Coturnix japonica: one gene and its partners. The main gene of each other region encodes a partner of the protein of the gene in region 3 in a complex. Links are inferred from orthologs where the notes say so. Each region holds a gene or a part of one and is shown on either strand. Other genes may lie near its edges.

Evidence for each region. The genes of interacting proteins can lie anywhere in the genome.
Region 1: PHLDB2 (region 3) and PPFIA1 share a complex: the UniProt entries of both Homo sapiens proteins name them as parts of the cortical microtubule stabilization complex. The link is inferred for Coturnix japonica from reciprocal best matches to the Homo sapiens genes PHLDB2 and PPFIA1.
Region 2: PHLDB2 (region 3) and PPFIBP1 share a complex: the UniProt entries of both Homo sapiens proteins name them as parts of the cortical microtubule stabilization complex. The link is inferred for Coturnix japonica from reciprocal best matches to the Homo sapiens genes PHLDB2 and PPFIBP1.

Annotation. Positions count from the first base shown.
Region 1 is NC_029520.1:6,924,332-6,929,583, forward strand, and holds part of PPFIA1 (liprin-alpha-1), read right to left. Parts: intron 3,771-5,252; coding exon 3,605-3,770; intron 2,525-3,604; coding exon 2,466-2,524; 3' UTR 2,454-2,465; intron 1,176-2,453; coding exon of another isoform or gene 1,150-1,175; 3' UTR 1-1,149. UniProt on the Homo sapiens protein: May regulate the disassembly of focal adhesions. May localize receptor-like tyrosine phosphatases type 2A at specific sites on the plasma membrane, possibly regulating their interaction with the extracellular environment and their association with substrates.
Region 2 is NC_029516.1:62,759,736-62,764,987, reverse strand, and holds part of PPFIBP1 (liprin-beta-1), read right to left. Parts: intron 4,901-5,252; coding exon 4,868-4,900; intron 3,734-4,867; coding exon 3,559-3,733; intron 2,091-3,558; coding exon 2,058-2,090; intron 1-2,057. UniProt on the Homo sapiens protein: May regulate the disassembly of focal adhesions. Did not bind receptor-like tyrosine phosphatases type 2A.
Region 3 is NC_029516.1:79,338,169-79,343,909, forward strand, and holds the start of PHLDB2 (pleckstrin homology-like domain family B member 2), read left to right. Parts: upstream 1-2,167; 5' UTR 2,168-2,309; intron 2,310-5,741. UniProt on the Homo sapiens protein: Seems to be involved in the assembly of the postsynaptic apparatus. May play a role in acetyl-choline receptor (AChR) aggregation in the postsynaptic membrane.

The DNA of each region.
Region 1 (5,252 bases), on a different chromosome or scaffold from region 3:
TATATATTGTTGCATAATAAATAATGCACCATCTGAACAGAATCTTGCTGGCTTTTTAATATGCCATTTACAAGTGTCGGATACATTTTTCTACTCATACAGTCCAAAATGGCTACAACCATTCAAACTAAAGTCCAGACAACTCTTTAGAACAAGTTTACAAAACACAAAATATGATTTACATAAGAAAATAAGGCCTTGATTAGGAGTTGCACTGCTTTAGTTCTCAGCACACTGTACCTTCATTTTCAATAGTCATTTGACGTGAGACTGCAGTGCTTCGTGACTGGTCCATTAACATTAGTTTTAACAGCATCTTTCAACAAGTGTTTTCAGTCAAAAAAGATCTAGCACAAAATCACTCTCTGTGGCCCGTGGATTACAACCAGGAATTATTGTGAAGTCTATCTTCCTCAGTTAAGAAAAACAGTTCTTGGTTTATGGCTTGTTCTCAGTCACTGTGAAGACATGCTATACAAATACAGCAGAGACACAGTTATGACCGAGTCAATCACTTGTAAAATGTGTTCCGTAGCGTTTGAGTTCTTCTCAGCTTTTCAAACAAGTTCTATTTTAAATAAAGACAAATTCCCACTACTTGACAATTCCTCTGTGGAAAGGTACACTTCCGAAAAGAACAATTATGTACCATACCTTCAACAACAACATACGCTTGCCTGAAAAAAAGCTGGACTTGTTTTCAGATCTAGCTAACATTTCCAAAAGACAAAATATATACTGCTTGGTGTCATGATACTTTTACAAAGGTATTAAAATTCTTTTCACCTTCAGTTTCATTATTAAAAAACAATGATAATTACAGTAACTGCATAATTTACAAAAACCCTACATTATTTATAGGGACATATACATACAAGCATTACAGTACATTCAGTTGGAAAGACTAAAATTAGATTAAAAATCAGCAATGATTCATTGTAGACTGAATAGAAACAGAAAAAAAAAAAGTAAGTAACTATATAAATGAAAAGTCACATAAATATAAGAAACATTTAGATTCTAAAATATTTTCTCTATAGTACTCATGAATTTATTCGCTAATTAAAAACTCTGTAATAAAATATCTCAAAGTGTCCATTTAAGAAGTATTAACAGGTTACGGTTTCCAAATGTTCAAAATGCTGCATATCACCGGTAGAAATAGTGTGGGTAAACTGCAAAATAAAGAAATAATCTGATTAGAATGAAATGTTGTTTACAAAATACCCATTTGTTAAAGTTCCTCACAAACAACTCAGTAGCGTAGCAGTCATGCACCAAATTATTGCCATGCCACAACACACACCATTTCATTGCTGATTATTAATTTCATTTGCAAAGTAAAGCACATGAGGCCAAGTATTTTTACTTCCTAGATTTTCATTCAAGGTCATCCAGATTATAATCCTCCGCACTGTTTCAGAATTTTCTAGCACGTTTATGGGTGAAGACTCCAAGCTTTGGTGTCTTAAAACTAAAAACATGAAGATAACCCCTGATATTATATATACTGTCAGATCCACATAGTCTGAGTTGCTGAGAACTTTTTAGAACTAAACTTGTATATTAAAGGCTCAGGATTTGAAGAAAAGGCAGCCACTATACATGAGTTGGTAGGGATGTTACTGGTGGAAAGAAAGAAGCTGTACACAGAAGAGACAGAGATGGACAATTTATTGCCCATAGATATCTGCTAGTGGCAGTAAGAATATTTTCTCATTGGATTTCTTCTGTATCCAACAGTCAAAAAAAATGTTAGTTTCCAAACTTGTTTGTAAAATAAGATTGTTTGATGAAAAAATACAGCAGAAGCTGATGAAGAAAAATCAACCCAAATCCTCAAGTAAAACAGAACTGAATATGTATTCACTGTTCAGAATACATCCATTGTTTGTTTAAATATCCTTTGTTATCAAGCTGCTTCACTGGCACCACTGTTCCACAATTACCCAGATTTTGGACTGCAGGTAAGTAAATCCAGCCAGACAAACTAAACAATCACAATAGTATGGAGCATCTGAGAGCCAGAAATCAATGTAGTTACCCCATAAAAATTCAATATATAAGTATAGTGCAGTGTATTTCACCAAGCAAAGACCAAAAGAATCTGAATCGCAATACCACAAACTGAGTTTTCTTTTAGCTATATCCCTAATTTAGTTCTCTTCCTCCCCACTTTTGCTACTTGTTTCATTTCACCTTTGACTCCAAAGCTTTCTACACAGTTACTTTGCATGAGTTACTTTCTGAGGTGGTTGAGAAAAAACAACTGAGGAATACAGCGGTGTACAGAAGTAAATAGTGAACCTCAGTTGTCTCGATAAGAAATAAGCTGTGTTCAAAATGCAATCTACTCTCCAAATCGAAAAGCCTTTACAATTCATTCTATTAAAACACCTGACACTTTACTCATAAATAGCTGCTTTACTATTACACCTATCGACTTTACTCACCAGGAGAAGGCTTTAACAGGAGTAGGTCCTTACTGTAGCAGAATCCAATCTTTGTGTTCCTGATACACTGCCTATTTAGAGGCATGGGAAAACATGCAGAACACAGCATGCATGTTAGTTTACAAAAAACATTACAGCAGTGTGATTATAGCTACTGCACTCATTTAACTCAAAGGTTACAAGTTAGAAAACCTAAATTTACTGTACAGTTTATACATTAATCAGTTCTAGTTTCTGCAGCTATCAAAAAGAATCCTAAAAAAAACCTGCATGCCAACTGACACACAATCTTTAATGTAAACCAACTGACATTTTAGGTAGTAAAGGTGGTATCATCAGGTGTAAAGGTCGATTCTTTGACCTTTACTCTAATACACTCCTCAGAACTTGAGACAGCTCTGACAGACTATGAGGAAACTCACACCCTATCTATTCCAATTAAATATATTTTTGATCTGTTTTTTACTTGTTTCATAAGAAAAAGAGAATTTTATTCTCATGCTATTAGACAGACTGCTTTTAAACTGACAATATAATAGGTATGACAGGCGATCGATTCTCACTTCCAAGTGCTGTTTCTTTTCCTTTTCGTACAGTTTTTTGTTGCTCTCTCTTTTACTTTTCCCTTCACATAGAGAGAAGGGACACCCATCCATCCATGTAAATTGCTTTAATAATCAGTTCTAAAATAGAAGTTACAAATATCCTCAAAGGGGGGTGGGGAGGGCGGAAATGCCCTTTTTCTCAAGTTGTAATATTCTCAAAATTATCTGAGAATGTTCATTCATTACATTTCCTGAATGCCATTTCACTGCATTTCAGATGTGGGACCGGTTACGTTGGTCTAATTGCTACTAATTCAAAACCATGCGTCATGTTACAAGACTCCTACCTAAATGTCACTTTATTTTCCCAGTTTAATATAACTTCCTAAATAAAATTATCACAGTTATTCCAATGAAGTAAAAAGAACCTCCTTATCTAATACAGTTCCTGAAATTACAACGCACTCTGTGGTTAAACAGTGTTATAAATACAACCATGCACAAGGCAGATGCTTTCAAGGAGCAAAAAAAGCTCATTTGAACTTCATTCCCCTGTAATCTCAAGCAAGAAAGCACATCATGCTTCAAATAATCCAAAGTAAATACCATCAATCTGCATCTTCTTTGGCTGCATAGAGGGTGAAGACATTGAGGTTGTAACTCTGAAATTTGCAGGAAGAGTCTCTGCTGATCCAGCAGCTAAACCTCTTATGTCCTTTGGTCTAAACTTCTTTCTCCACGAAGGTGCTCGCCTAAAGCTCTTATCGTCATCCTGTTAAAATGATAAACATTAGCAGTTCAAAAATTTAGGATTGTTACCAACATTAAAAGGATTACTGACAATTTAGTTAAATACACCATCATTGAAAGGCTTAATTTTCAACAGCTCAGGTGCAGCTGGTCACTGTTTTCAACAATATGTGCTCATTTACTGGAGTGTAGGCTCTTCATCTAAGTAATTATGCCAATTCATGTCTTTGGCACATCTGGTCTAATGTTTTTACTTCCCGATTTGGAGTAATTTGTGTCATATCAAGCTAAGAATGAGTGATATGAAAAGGAACATATCTTAAAAGCTACATAAGAACACTTAAGAACACTGTTCTTAGGCTGAACAGTTGTTTATAATTTTAGATTTTGTTTTTGTTTGAGTGATGATACAACTACAGCATTTTCTCATGCTACAAATTGCAGGTAATCATAGTGAGGAGAAAAAACAACTAAATACAGTAAATACTGCTGTTCAGAGCTTTGGTTAAACAGTTTGGTAATTACGAGTTAAAGATTCCCAAAGGATTTTTTTCTGCATTCATGTATCTGAATCTTTCAGAAACACTTCGCTATATTCAAATACGACAGTTTAATTAGCTCTGCCAAAAATGCCTTTTGCAACAAATGTCAATGCACAACATCCACTGTGATTTCTTGTCTATTTCACCTTTAGAAACAATTCTATCCTTTGACTGCTATTTTATATAATGCATCACATTTTATAATTAAAATTAGGAGACACATGCCTGCATCATTTGGAAAGATCTTCATAATAAAATACTTTTGCTGCTCATTGTAACCAGAATAGAACACCCCTCCCACAAAGCTTCATTTCCTGCAGAGAGAAATCACTACTGAAAAGTAACTCAGAAAACTTTCAAGCTGTTTTCTGTTAATATTATTAAAAACTTTGCACAGATACATACTAGGCTATCAGGGTGTGCCATACAAGGGCTGCAAGTCTGGCTTCGTATCTTTAAATTCTGGTACCCAAAACTGCACAAGACTCTTGAGGTGAGGATACACCAGCACAGTTTCTCATACATAGCTTGTTAGAGCTTTAGACTTGATACATTAGAATGATGCTTTTACACTGTAAATCACAGACTGTCTAATACAAATTACTTTGATGAGCAAACATTCCTGGTCATCACTCCATACTGCTATTAGTAGAGAGCAACACAAGTCTTCATGAAATACAATCATCTGAAATGCTGTTTATTAGGATAAAGGTTTGAACTATCCTATACAGACTTTCTCAGTTATACTCAGTTCACCTGCAACACTGATTATTGTTTTCCCACATTTCAGATAGAAAAGAACGATTCAACCACAAGTGCGCTGCTGCTAGGCTTAACTATGCAAACTACAGATAAACTTGCAAATCACCTCATGCCTTCACATTCAGAGTTACCTTAGCAAAACACAAAAAACCTGCCACATTCAGAAATTCACAAAGAATTTCCAAGTCCATTTTTTGTCA
Region 2 (5,252 bases), about 17 Mb from region 3:
TTAGGAAAATGGGGTGAAGAGGGATGTGAAAAACCCAAAGAAACAAAATGTGTTTCTTGTTCACGGGTCTTACTGTAAACACTCCAAGGCAATGCCCTGCACTACTTGAGTGCTTTGCATCCAAAGCAGGCAACAAATACCTGGTGAACCAATCAATGATTCAAATCCCAAGCTCACTCTTTTTCAGGGATGGTCTTCCAGGAATGAATCATTGCCATGGCAGGAGGAGAACCAGGAGTCCCCAGAGCACAGAAGAATAAATTATTTCCCAGTGGGCAGCCTTCCTAATTACCTCCATTACCTCCTATGCTCCCCAAAGAGGAAATTCCAGCAACAAACAATTCCCCCCACACTAGGAGCAGGAGGGCCCTTTCCCCTGCTGGTGGAAAGAAAGCTTTCTCCTTCAAGTTGTGGAGCATTTTGTTTCTCTGTAGAGAAATACCACTAAGTCTACACTCTGTCTGAACTTCATTTTTCCTTTGAAGGGATGCATAGAGCATCTCCGTATCTACACACTACTTCCCACGTGAAAAGTTGGATCTGTAGCCCTTGTTTTCCACTGACAACAAATCTAAAGGTTCCTGTCTACAAAAGTGAAACTGTGACAAAATTGTTTAGTAAAAGCTGAAATAACAAAGCAAAAGACTACTTAAGACCATTTAAAAGGAAACAAATTGCAATATCTAGAAGACTACACAAGCAGAGGTGTGCCAGCAAAGTGCCAGATAGCTGAAGAAAGTCACCATGTGGAGCTGATGACACTCGCTGAGAAACAGCATCAGCCTGTTGAGGTGAAACAGTTGTGGCAAGGCAGCCTGCAGCCACTTTTACCACCTTTTCACATAGCTACATAATAAGATCACCATCGTGTTTTTCAAATGGACCCTCAAACTTGCAGGAGAAAACCAAATAAATCACACAAATCAAGCTAGAACATCTATTGCTGGGACACGTGGTCTCAAGAGTATCTTCCTGCAGGGCAAAGTTTTAGGTATTTCAGATGGACTATGCATGAACTTGTCCCATTTTCTTCCAGAGAAAGTGAAAATCTTGTAGTGAGGGAACAAGGCCATATGCAAGATGATTTTGGGAGCACTCTGGTTTGACTGCTATTGAACAATGAGGCAATCTTGCTGGTGAGAGAGAGCAGCATATCAAACAAAGCTTTTGCACTTGTGGATTCTGCTTTACTTGTGTAAGAAAAAGTTCTACCCTAGAAAAAACAACAACAAAAAATACATATTTAAATAGCAGTCTAAAGAGAGAATACTAAGACAAGGCTAGATACATTAGTAGCAGAGATTTGCGGGTATTGCAATGGTCGCTCCATGTACATTGCTCCCTGATGCATAACCCCAGGAGAAGCCAATCAAGGTAAACCAAGAAAGGGCCAAGAGGACTCGTGTCTCTTTGTCAGCAAAGGCCACAGGCAACTACTGTGCCACCACATCTGCAAGCTCCCCTTGCTAATACCTGGCCCTGCTGCTCCTCTCTGCCCTTGCCAGAACCACCCAGGGAACACTCACATCATGAGGCCAGTTTTTACTATACTAATGGCTCCATCTAAATCTGTCCCAGTTATTTCTCATTCATTTATTACACAATAAATGTAGGTATTTCTTAAAAGAGAACTTACCCTTTCACTCAGAGTTCCCCTAAATGAATTCCTGAGAAATAAGTACACTCAATGTCCTATTTTACAACCCTTCAAGCTTTCCCAGGGGGCTCTAGGATGGACACAGAGGCACCCCTGGTGTTCATACACTGTTGTTTCCCTGTTGCTGTCTTGGTCTGTAAATAACTTTGTGCTCAAAGTTACAGTAAAGGTCTCTGCAAATTAACCCGCAATCTCTCATTAGTAGCAGTTATCAAGAAATGGCACAGCTGACTTTTAGCAGAGGGCAGATGTTACATGAAAACTCCTTTTAGCGATGCACAGGTGTTTGATGCAGAGCTCTGGTGTCTAGCTTTTATTTGAAAAGTGTGTGGCTACATCCAGCCATCAGCAACAGCCACAGCACAGCGCTGGTACAGGCAGACATGCAGGATTACTGTACCTAAAGTAGGGGCGCTTGCACTTCGACTGCGATCTTCAGATATCCAAACAACGCACATAACCACACGCAGCACAAAGGGAGAGAACACGCAGAAGGACAAGGTAAAACATATTTCAAAACTTACATCAACAAAATACAAGACAACAGGAGGGAGGTAAATGAGACACATACGTCACACACAAGAATGAATCACGCAGAGATTAGGATAAACAATTCACTGTTCATCTCTCTCTTAGTAAATGAATGCAGTAGAGCTCCTTGTTGGAGAGGGTAAACCAGCACCTCATTCTTTGCAGTGCAGGGAGGCCACCCACTCTGCAACTCACACGGGCTCCTGTGGGGTGGCAAGAATCTAGGCACCAACTTTATAGGTGGATGCAATGAAAGCTGGATAACAATCACTCAAATTCACAGGAGCCTGATCTAGATGGCTCATCTTCCAATCCTTTAGGACAGCCACAAGACCTCCATCTTGTTAGACAAATTAATCACAGGGTGAAACAGGTGATTACACACAAACACAGACAAAATAAACCAAAGCAAAGAGTCTAACCCTCAGAATAGATTGCACATCTATTCCAAGTACGCTAGAAAGTTCCCATGCCATATGACAAGGGAAAATAGGGGCAATGCATAATAAATGTGTGGGTATGTTGGTTCATTTGAAAAAAAAGATCTAGAATTGTCATTGATAAGTAAAAGCAATAAATTCTTCTTCTCAACATAGAGGACATTATCTGCCTTTATGCTTCTGAAAGACAAAACCGAATTCCAAATGTTGTGCAACAGAGCCAAAAAGTGTAGATAAATGCCAATAGTTCTGATTCATGACTCACTTAATGCTTGAACTGGAACAGTGGAAAGAATCCTGCAACAAATCAGCTAAAGCAAGTTAGGCTTCAACCGCTGGTAAAAGAAAATTCTGCATTAAGCAGAACATTTTGTTCATTTCTTCACTGTGCAAATGACAAGACCAAAACAGAAAACCCTCCCACACAAGTCCAGGACTCAAAATGAGCTTGAATAACTTTACCAATATTATTCTTTTTCTCACAATCTCTTTTGCAAGGTTACATAAACACATAAAACAAAGTGGAAGACTGACTGCAGCTGCCTCATTTCTGTACATTTCTGTACATCTTATGAAAGATAAACTGGAGATGGAGCCAAGGAAAAAAAGATCCACAAATCCCAGACAGCCAGCAATTCAAAACTGTAGTAACGTATTACATGGTCTCAGAGGAGATAACACAGCAGAGGTGAAAACAAATGAACTAAGTTGTTACATCAGTGAAGTTTTCTCCGTTCTTTGGCTGTTGCTTGACTTTTTGCAACCATTTTACTGTGATACACATCACCATATCATAGCAAGATGAAGGCTGGCTTTTCAGCTCTTAAGGACAGTTACATCACTTAGAAAAATATTTTTTTATTAATTTATCTGTTATTGGAAACATTGTTAGATACATACATGATTTGCATTTAGGTGTACAATACTTACCTAGATTGGGGGCACTTGCAGTCCTCTTATTGTTTTTTATCTTGAAAAAGCCTCGTCCAAAGGAAGATCTGGCTTTACGGGTGCCAAAACTGTCCTCATCTCCTGTGATGCCATGAGAAGGAGATTTTGGAGGGAGAGTGGCGAAATTATTACCTTCCATGCGAGGTTTAGCCTGCTAAAGTTAGGAAAACAAACAGTCAATATCAGGGAACTGCAAAAGACCTTTGAGGAAGATGCAAAGTAATCACTGCCATATAATCTGGAGAGTCACTCGATCTCACTTGTTACTATGGGAAAACATTACAAAAACCATAAAGAACAGACAAGATCTTCAGTTGAACAAGTTCAGGACTTGAGATTACTATCACTAAATTCTAAGACTAACATGCCATTTCGAAGATGTTGCTCATTTTCTGCAAGCGCAGCTTACATGTACTAAAAAGGTAAAAATACAACCCTATAAGGCTTTGACAGCTGTAGCAACAGAGGAAGCAAAGAAAGAGACAAGACCCTCACGCTGAATTGGATCTCTGGCAAGTTCTGGACAGCCCCTTCCAGCTGTCATCACTTTGCAATTTCAGAATGATTTAACTAATTGACTCTGCCAACTGTCCAAGCTGAGAGGAAAATAGGCAACAAAGCAAGGAGTAAAAATGACAGGAACTGAAATCTGAAACATCACATAACCAATTTAAAGTAATAGTTTCAACCTTCTTGGTTGTTTCACTGTTTCTTTAAAAAGTGAAAAATCCATTCATAATCCAAAAAAGATCCTTTGGCTTTTGCTGAATGGACCCTAGAGTGGTGTCTGATGTAGGTGTTCTCTGTTCAGATCTTCATCCATGCAATAACTGCTGCATGCAAACTATGCCATACAGTACCATAGGCTAGCTCTTCTGCAATGACAGTCTCTTTAAGAACACAGTTGTTACAGAAAACAATTTGGAAACCCAAGGGTTTTTAGAGATACTAATCAAAGGTAATTACACAGTCAGTATAATAGTTAATGGCTAGCTTTGCTAATTATCAAGTGGTAGAACATGTGAGGGAAACATTAGATGTGATGGCAACCTTATGCTCAATAAAACTGAAAGATAATCCTTGTGGGAAAAGAAAGGAATGTGTGAGACACCCTAAGCCTGATTCAGAAGTGATTGCGGCAATCATCGTATACTCCTGACTGCATGTCAGCTTTTCCCCCTTTGGAACTGAATACTGCAATTTCAGATGACTGAGCCTTCCAACATCCATGCTGCCCATGCTTCTCCACATATACACACAAGTGCGTGGCCACACACACACACATTACCTCTGTCGGCTTTTGTGAAGCAGAGTCTCTGTCCTGTTTGAGAAAGATTAAGAAACACATTAAAAAGTCACAGTTTATATTAAGTATTCAGTTCATTATGGTCACCCTAAGTCGAATGATTACTGAAATACCCTTCTCTGCATTCTTTTTTTCCTAAAACAAATCTCTTCAAAACTGTATTAGTTCAGATTAATTCTTACTTTTTTCATGTCAGTGAGCTGACATGAAAATACAGTTGCTTTAGTTTACTTTGGAAAGCATTAGCTGTGTTTATAATTAGCCACATGCAGCCTGTCAGGCACAAACAGTCACAGTCAGCTGAGGAGACCCAAAGCTAGAATCAGGCAGGGTAATAGCCAAACATCCACAGTCTCCACTTCTTGGC
Region 3 (5,741 bases):
TCTCTAGGCACCTTTGTGCACTCCATGTAACGGCTGTTACTCATGCCTACTGAGCAACATTGCTCTGCTTTCTGCTCTTTTTTTTTTTGAGGCGAGGAAGGGAGAGGGAAAAGTAAAAGGAAAAGCCAAGATTTTTGCAGGATGTTTTGTGGGTGCATTTAGGACAGAGCTGGTATCTTCATAGTAAGCTGTAATTTCCAAGCTGTAGGTCATGGTCATAAGATGTTCATGACTTTTGGAGGTGATGTTACGTGCCTAGAAGCACTAATCAGAAACCTATTTATGAAGGGGAAATTTTGGGAAGCAGCCCTCTCTTTTTTCTTTGTTTTTCTTTTGCCAGAGCCACTCTTAGATTTTGACCACAAGAAAGCAAAGTGTGGAGAGAAGTGGAAAATTATGTTGCCGTTCCAGTTCAGGTCTTGTTGTCAGAATATGCAAGACCTAACAAGATTAGAGCGGTTTTGCCCTTTAATTTAAGCAGATGCATGTTGGAGTCACTAGCAGATTTACATCATAACTCTGGTTCAACACTGACTCATGGGATTATTTCATTCTGCTGTATTCTTTTTTGATGAACCACTTTGCTCCTTGTTTTGTGAGGGAGGGTTAAACAGTAATTCCTCAATGAAATATTTCTCCCTTGTTGAAACTTGAATGGGATATTTTCCAGAAACTCGGCTCAGAAACCACCCTTGACATACCAGCTCTGCCAGAAATGCCTTACCGAGAAAGCAGATTGCCCAGGGGGTGGTAGCATTAACAAAACGGGCAAGGGGGACTCCGAGCAGATCACCTCACTCACAGGTGCTGTGAAGCCCAGAACATCTGCAAAGAACCAGCCATCTGCGCAATTACAGGCTGCAGCTGCTACAGCATCATAACAAAGCACTAAATTGGAGCTCAAACGTGAGAAGGGGCTAAGCTGGTGCACGAGGGAGCCACGAGCTAGCTAAGGGATGTAATGAGGTTTTTAATTCAACAGCCTCCTTGAGACCTGTAAGATCTTCCTATAACTCCAAGATTCTAATGAAGAGAAATGTTTCTTCCGGGATGAAAAACAGAAGGTACAGTACAGTCTAGGCTTGACTGCGCTTGCTGATGCAAATGGAGAATGGATATTTCTTTTCAAGTCAGCTTTCTTAAATCAGAGTGTATTTAAAATGTCGGAAGGGGAAAAAAAAAAAAGACTATCTTTGCCTGGTATTGATTTTTCTCATATGTTTTACCTATGTTTAAATCTGTTTTCCTTTCTCTCCTAGAAATCTGATCTCCCCCAAAGCATAGACTGTGTAGCTATAGGAGCAGGACTGCACTGCTCTTGGAAAAATCTGCATGCCATTGTGCTTAGATTTCCTTGCTTTTGCATCTGAGCCGAGCTCCTGACAATTGAAAATATTTAAAGGAGGAAAACTAAACCCTAATGAATGTGAAAGGCGTTTGCACAAAAACACAAGCCATCTTCCTTCTGTCTTAATAGAAATACCTTAAAAGGACTGCATAGGCTATACAAGTAAATGCAACAACTCATTCCCTCTATGTATGCCAGTTTTTGAAAGTATTCATTTCTATTTTTGTCTCTTTACTTGTTATCCAAATAAAGATCTCTAAGTAAGTACAATTTCTGCCTGTCTAAGCTCAGCAGCTCGGTGGTCACATCTTCTTCATATCATTTTTCCTGTGAACTTTCAGTTCCTTCTCCTTTACTTGGAATAAAATCAAGCACTCTGTTAATAGCCAGGACTCTTCAGTCGGAAGTCCGTACCACATCTCATCTGGGCCTGCACAGGCAGTAGGTGAAATGCTATCAGGTGAAACTGTGCTGAATAACTTTAAAGTCACTTTCCTATAATAGAAACTTAGTTCAAGAGCAGAAGAAGTGCTGGTCTGCTTCACTGTTTTCCAAGACCCATTTTCACCATGTAAAGTCAATTGGCTGTAAGCTGCGGACCCAGCTTGGCTTCAAAGAGTGCCTGGCTCCTCATTCACAAACTAAATGCTCTAGAGAGCTGCCAAATTGGGGAGATTATTCTGTCTCATTTTCTGGCAAGCTGCGACTGCGTGTACCGCTTCATTTATATGCTAATTAAGGCCAAGCCTCCAAATAGGCTCCATACAATATCAGTATGACTTGGCTCCCTCTCTATGATTATTCTGCCTTCCAGCAGCTTCAGTGAGCGTTCTGAGCCGGAGAACTTTTTCTACGTCTTCATCTATGAAATCCTGAATCTTAGCCCCAGCTTTCTGAATGCGATGGCGAGACAGGAGGGGTGCAGATCCCTTGTGTGAACGATCACCGTGGGGTTGTGAAGGTGAGCTCAAACCTTTTGTTGATGAGGACTCTCTCTACTGTCTTTGTCTTGGAGGAGAGGCTGTTGTTTCTTAGGTCAGCCAGTGTAATAAGAGATTGCAGAAGGCATGGATAATTCGGGGGGATGATGTGTTGCCAAGGTAGAACAGCCAGTTCTGTTGCCTGCTCTCTTTTGCCAGCTCATATGTGATCATAAGGCAAAAGCTCTATCTATTCTACCTATTTTTAAACCGCTGTAAGGATCCATGCATTCAGTCATTTTTTGAGGAGCACTATGTTGTTATTGAAAGAGCAGGTACCGACACTGTGATGGTTTCACGCTGGCTCAGCTCCACCACACTGCTATCAATCTCCTCACCTTCTGAGGCTGCCTTAGCTTTTAATGTAATTGTTTTGTATTTGATAAACTTCACAAACCAAGGATGAACGTTTCAGTAAATGGGACACTTGCCACAAGCTGAATTCACTAAATATTTCACCAAGGGCTACCGAACATAGAGTGGGAAATGTGTGTATTTGTGGTAAGAAATCTTTGAGCCTTTTTGGAGGGAAGTATTAGTACCTTTTGCTTAAAGCAGAGAGGTGAAATTGGCTCACAAGTGTATTTTACCAGGCATCCAGAGCTCTAGAGTTTTGAGCTAAGTTCTGAAATTTCCATGTAATATCATTTCCCTACTTTTCTGAACTTCCTCTTAGAAAAACATCAAGGTATATTTTAAAGCCTTGTTAAAAAAGAACTGAGCACTTGAAAGTTAGAAAATTCCCAGCTAGCAGCACACACCCTTTGCAGAGCTGTATTACAGCACATGCCATTACAGACAACAGCAGCACAGATGCGGGTGCATGGAGTCGCTAAATGTCTAACTTTTCAATAGCCTGTGTTTGTATTGGATTTCACAGTCCTGGTCCAGGTAACCAAAGAGGGGATTCATAACCTATTGTGGATAGCAAATGGACAAAGAAAGAGTGTTAACACAAATGTGTCAGAAGTTCCTGTGTTCTCATGGATCAAGTGCATGCTTATGACTTTGAAATCAGGAATGATATGAAATCAGGATTCATGGTTTGAGCTCAGGCATCTACGGTATCTCTGTATGTGGGAAGTGTGTTGTCCTTGTCTGAGCTGTGACAACACCTAATTCTCATTCAGGGTGCGAGGGATATCAGAATCAGCACAGCATGGACCACATCCCTGCCTCAGGCAGTTCAAATTTAGACTGCGTGTGCAAGGTAATTTGCTTACTTAGGGTGTGATCTGGCACGGAGACACTCCTCGCCTATTGATGTGGAGTCATGATCTAGCCAGCAAAGGAAGACTCATCAAGCCACAGAGAGATAAAGCAAGAGGGAGCACGACTGTTTTGCTTGATGATGAGGCAATTTCCTGGGGTGGACCAGGTGTGGGTTCTGGTACTTCCCAGATGCACTTAAGCATTTTTGCAACCCTCTCATCACTCACCAGAGAAACCTTCCATGGGATTTCCAAAGCCTGCCTGTGCATTGAATTCCCCTTGTTACTGTGAATCGTTTATTTGAATCTCTCCTGAGCAACATGTTGCCTCCGGGTTATGACCGGTTGGCTGACAAAAATAGGTGCCAGGTGAGGTTCCTGCCAGGGCATGACCGCCGGGCTGAAGAATACAGCACTTGTGCAAGGAAGCGGCTCATTTATTTCCATGACACGCTGTTCTTTTGTGTGCTGCATGCAGCAGGTCTTGGCAAGCAGCACTCATGCATGTTTCTGTTTTATGTGGAAAAGCTCCAAAGTTGATAAATTTCCTGTGTCAGATAAAGGACATCTCTGTTCTAGGCCAGGATGCTTTCTCTAGCATCCTGTTGCTATTCAGGCTGCAGTTCTATTGCTGCTGGAGTACGATGCTTGTTCCTTAGCAGATCCAGAGGCTTTAAAATTTGTTTATTCTATGCTGGAGTGAAAGGAGAACCCTTTGAAATGTTACTGATTTTTACATATATATATTTCTTGCCTTAATGTCCTCTTTTGGACTCTTAACAGGACATTTCAATTAGTGAAAAGGTATTTTATGGTATCAAACACTGCCTTGATGCAGGAAACATCCCACTTTACTGTGGTAGTTCTGCACACCTCAGAGGTTTAGACTGCAGACCCTCTCAGATGGACAGAGCAGGAACTTGAACACGGGTGTCCCATGGCTGAGAGCTCACCAGATATATAAAACCCTTCCATTCATTGCCAAAAGTGCTCTGGCTATGCTGCCAGCTAGCCACACTGACACTAGCTGACGATGCCAGACATTTTGAAATGTGTTTCACAAAGTTATGCACCTATGGATAAGGAAAGTTCAGCTTTTGCAGCAAAAAGGAAAGTTCACTGGTAGATTAAACTGGAGAAATATGTGGGGAGACTGATTTAAAGAGTGGAAGGGATGGTTTTGCTGTAGGATTTAGACACTATCAGCGTAAAGGAGACGGTGCACATAAATACAGGACTTCCTTGCTGCAAGAAGATGGAAGAAAAAGCTCAGCAGTTTTGGGAGTTTCATGAGAGCATATTAGTGTGTCTGAGAAAAACCGAGTTCTCAGTGGTTAGTGTCCTGTTGAGCACTTCTGAGGACTGTAATTGCAGTGGCTTGTCTGGGTATAGAAAATGCACATATTGTGATGCTGGCAGCTGTGTGAAGACTTGCTGAAGGTAGTGGGTGTAACAACCACCCTTCATTTTATTCGTAAAGTGCAATTAGGTTTTATGGAATAGATAGCTGAAACAATAGGAGCCACCACCCCAAAACTATGGGTACACGCAAAGCTGTTCAAAAACCTGTGCTGTGTGGGTGGAGGGTTTGATAACATGCTGAATTAAGGTGCAGGTGGCTGAACATAGTTCACGTGGGAGAGAAACCAGAAAGACATCAAAGCAGATGCATAGGGAAGACATCAAGAAAGTCCCAGCGAAATAAAAATACTTGCTGTCTAACTGAATAAAAGCCAAGAGAGTCACCAGGAATCCAGCAACCTGGAGCTCAAGGCAAGCAAATGAGGTGCTACCTTCTCCAGTGTTCTCACTGATACAAGGAAATGGATGTTGATGGGGTTGCAATGAAATCAAAAGGTTTTGTTTCAAAATAAATAAACAAAAATAACAGGACCACGTTCCACCATCTGTCCATCTGCCTGGGAGAAATGATGCAGAAATATCAGGCTCAGCTCAGCATATGGAAATACTCAGATAGATCTCCATTACTGCAGTGTTAAAGAAGGGATCTCTGCTTCCAGCTGCAGATAAGTGAATCTGTTCTGGGGATGCAGCTTCAGATTTCATGGCAGAAAATATCAATGGAAATCAATGGCAAGGGAAAAGCTAAGTCAAAATGAAATACAAACCTGGCCCACCTAGCCTACTGGTGCTTTCCATGTAGCATTACTTACTGGATACAGAGCTGAATTTGGCAAAATG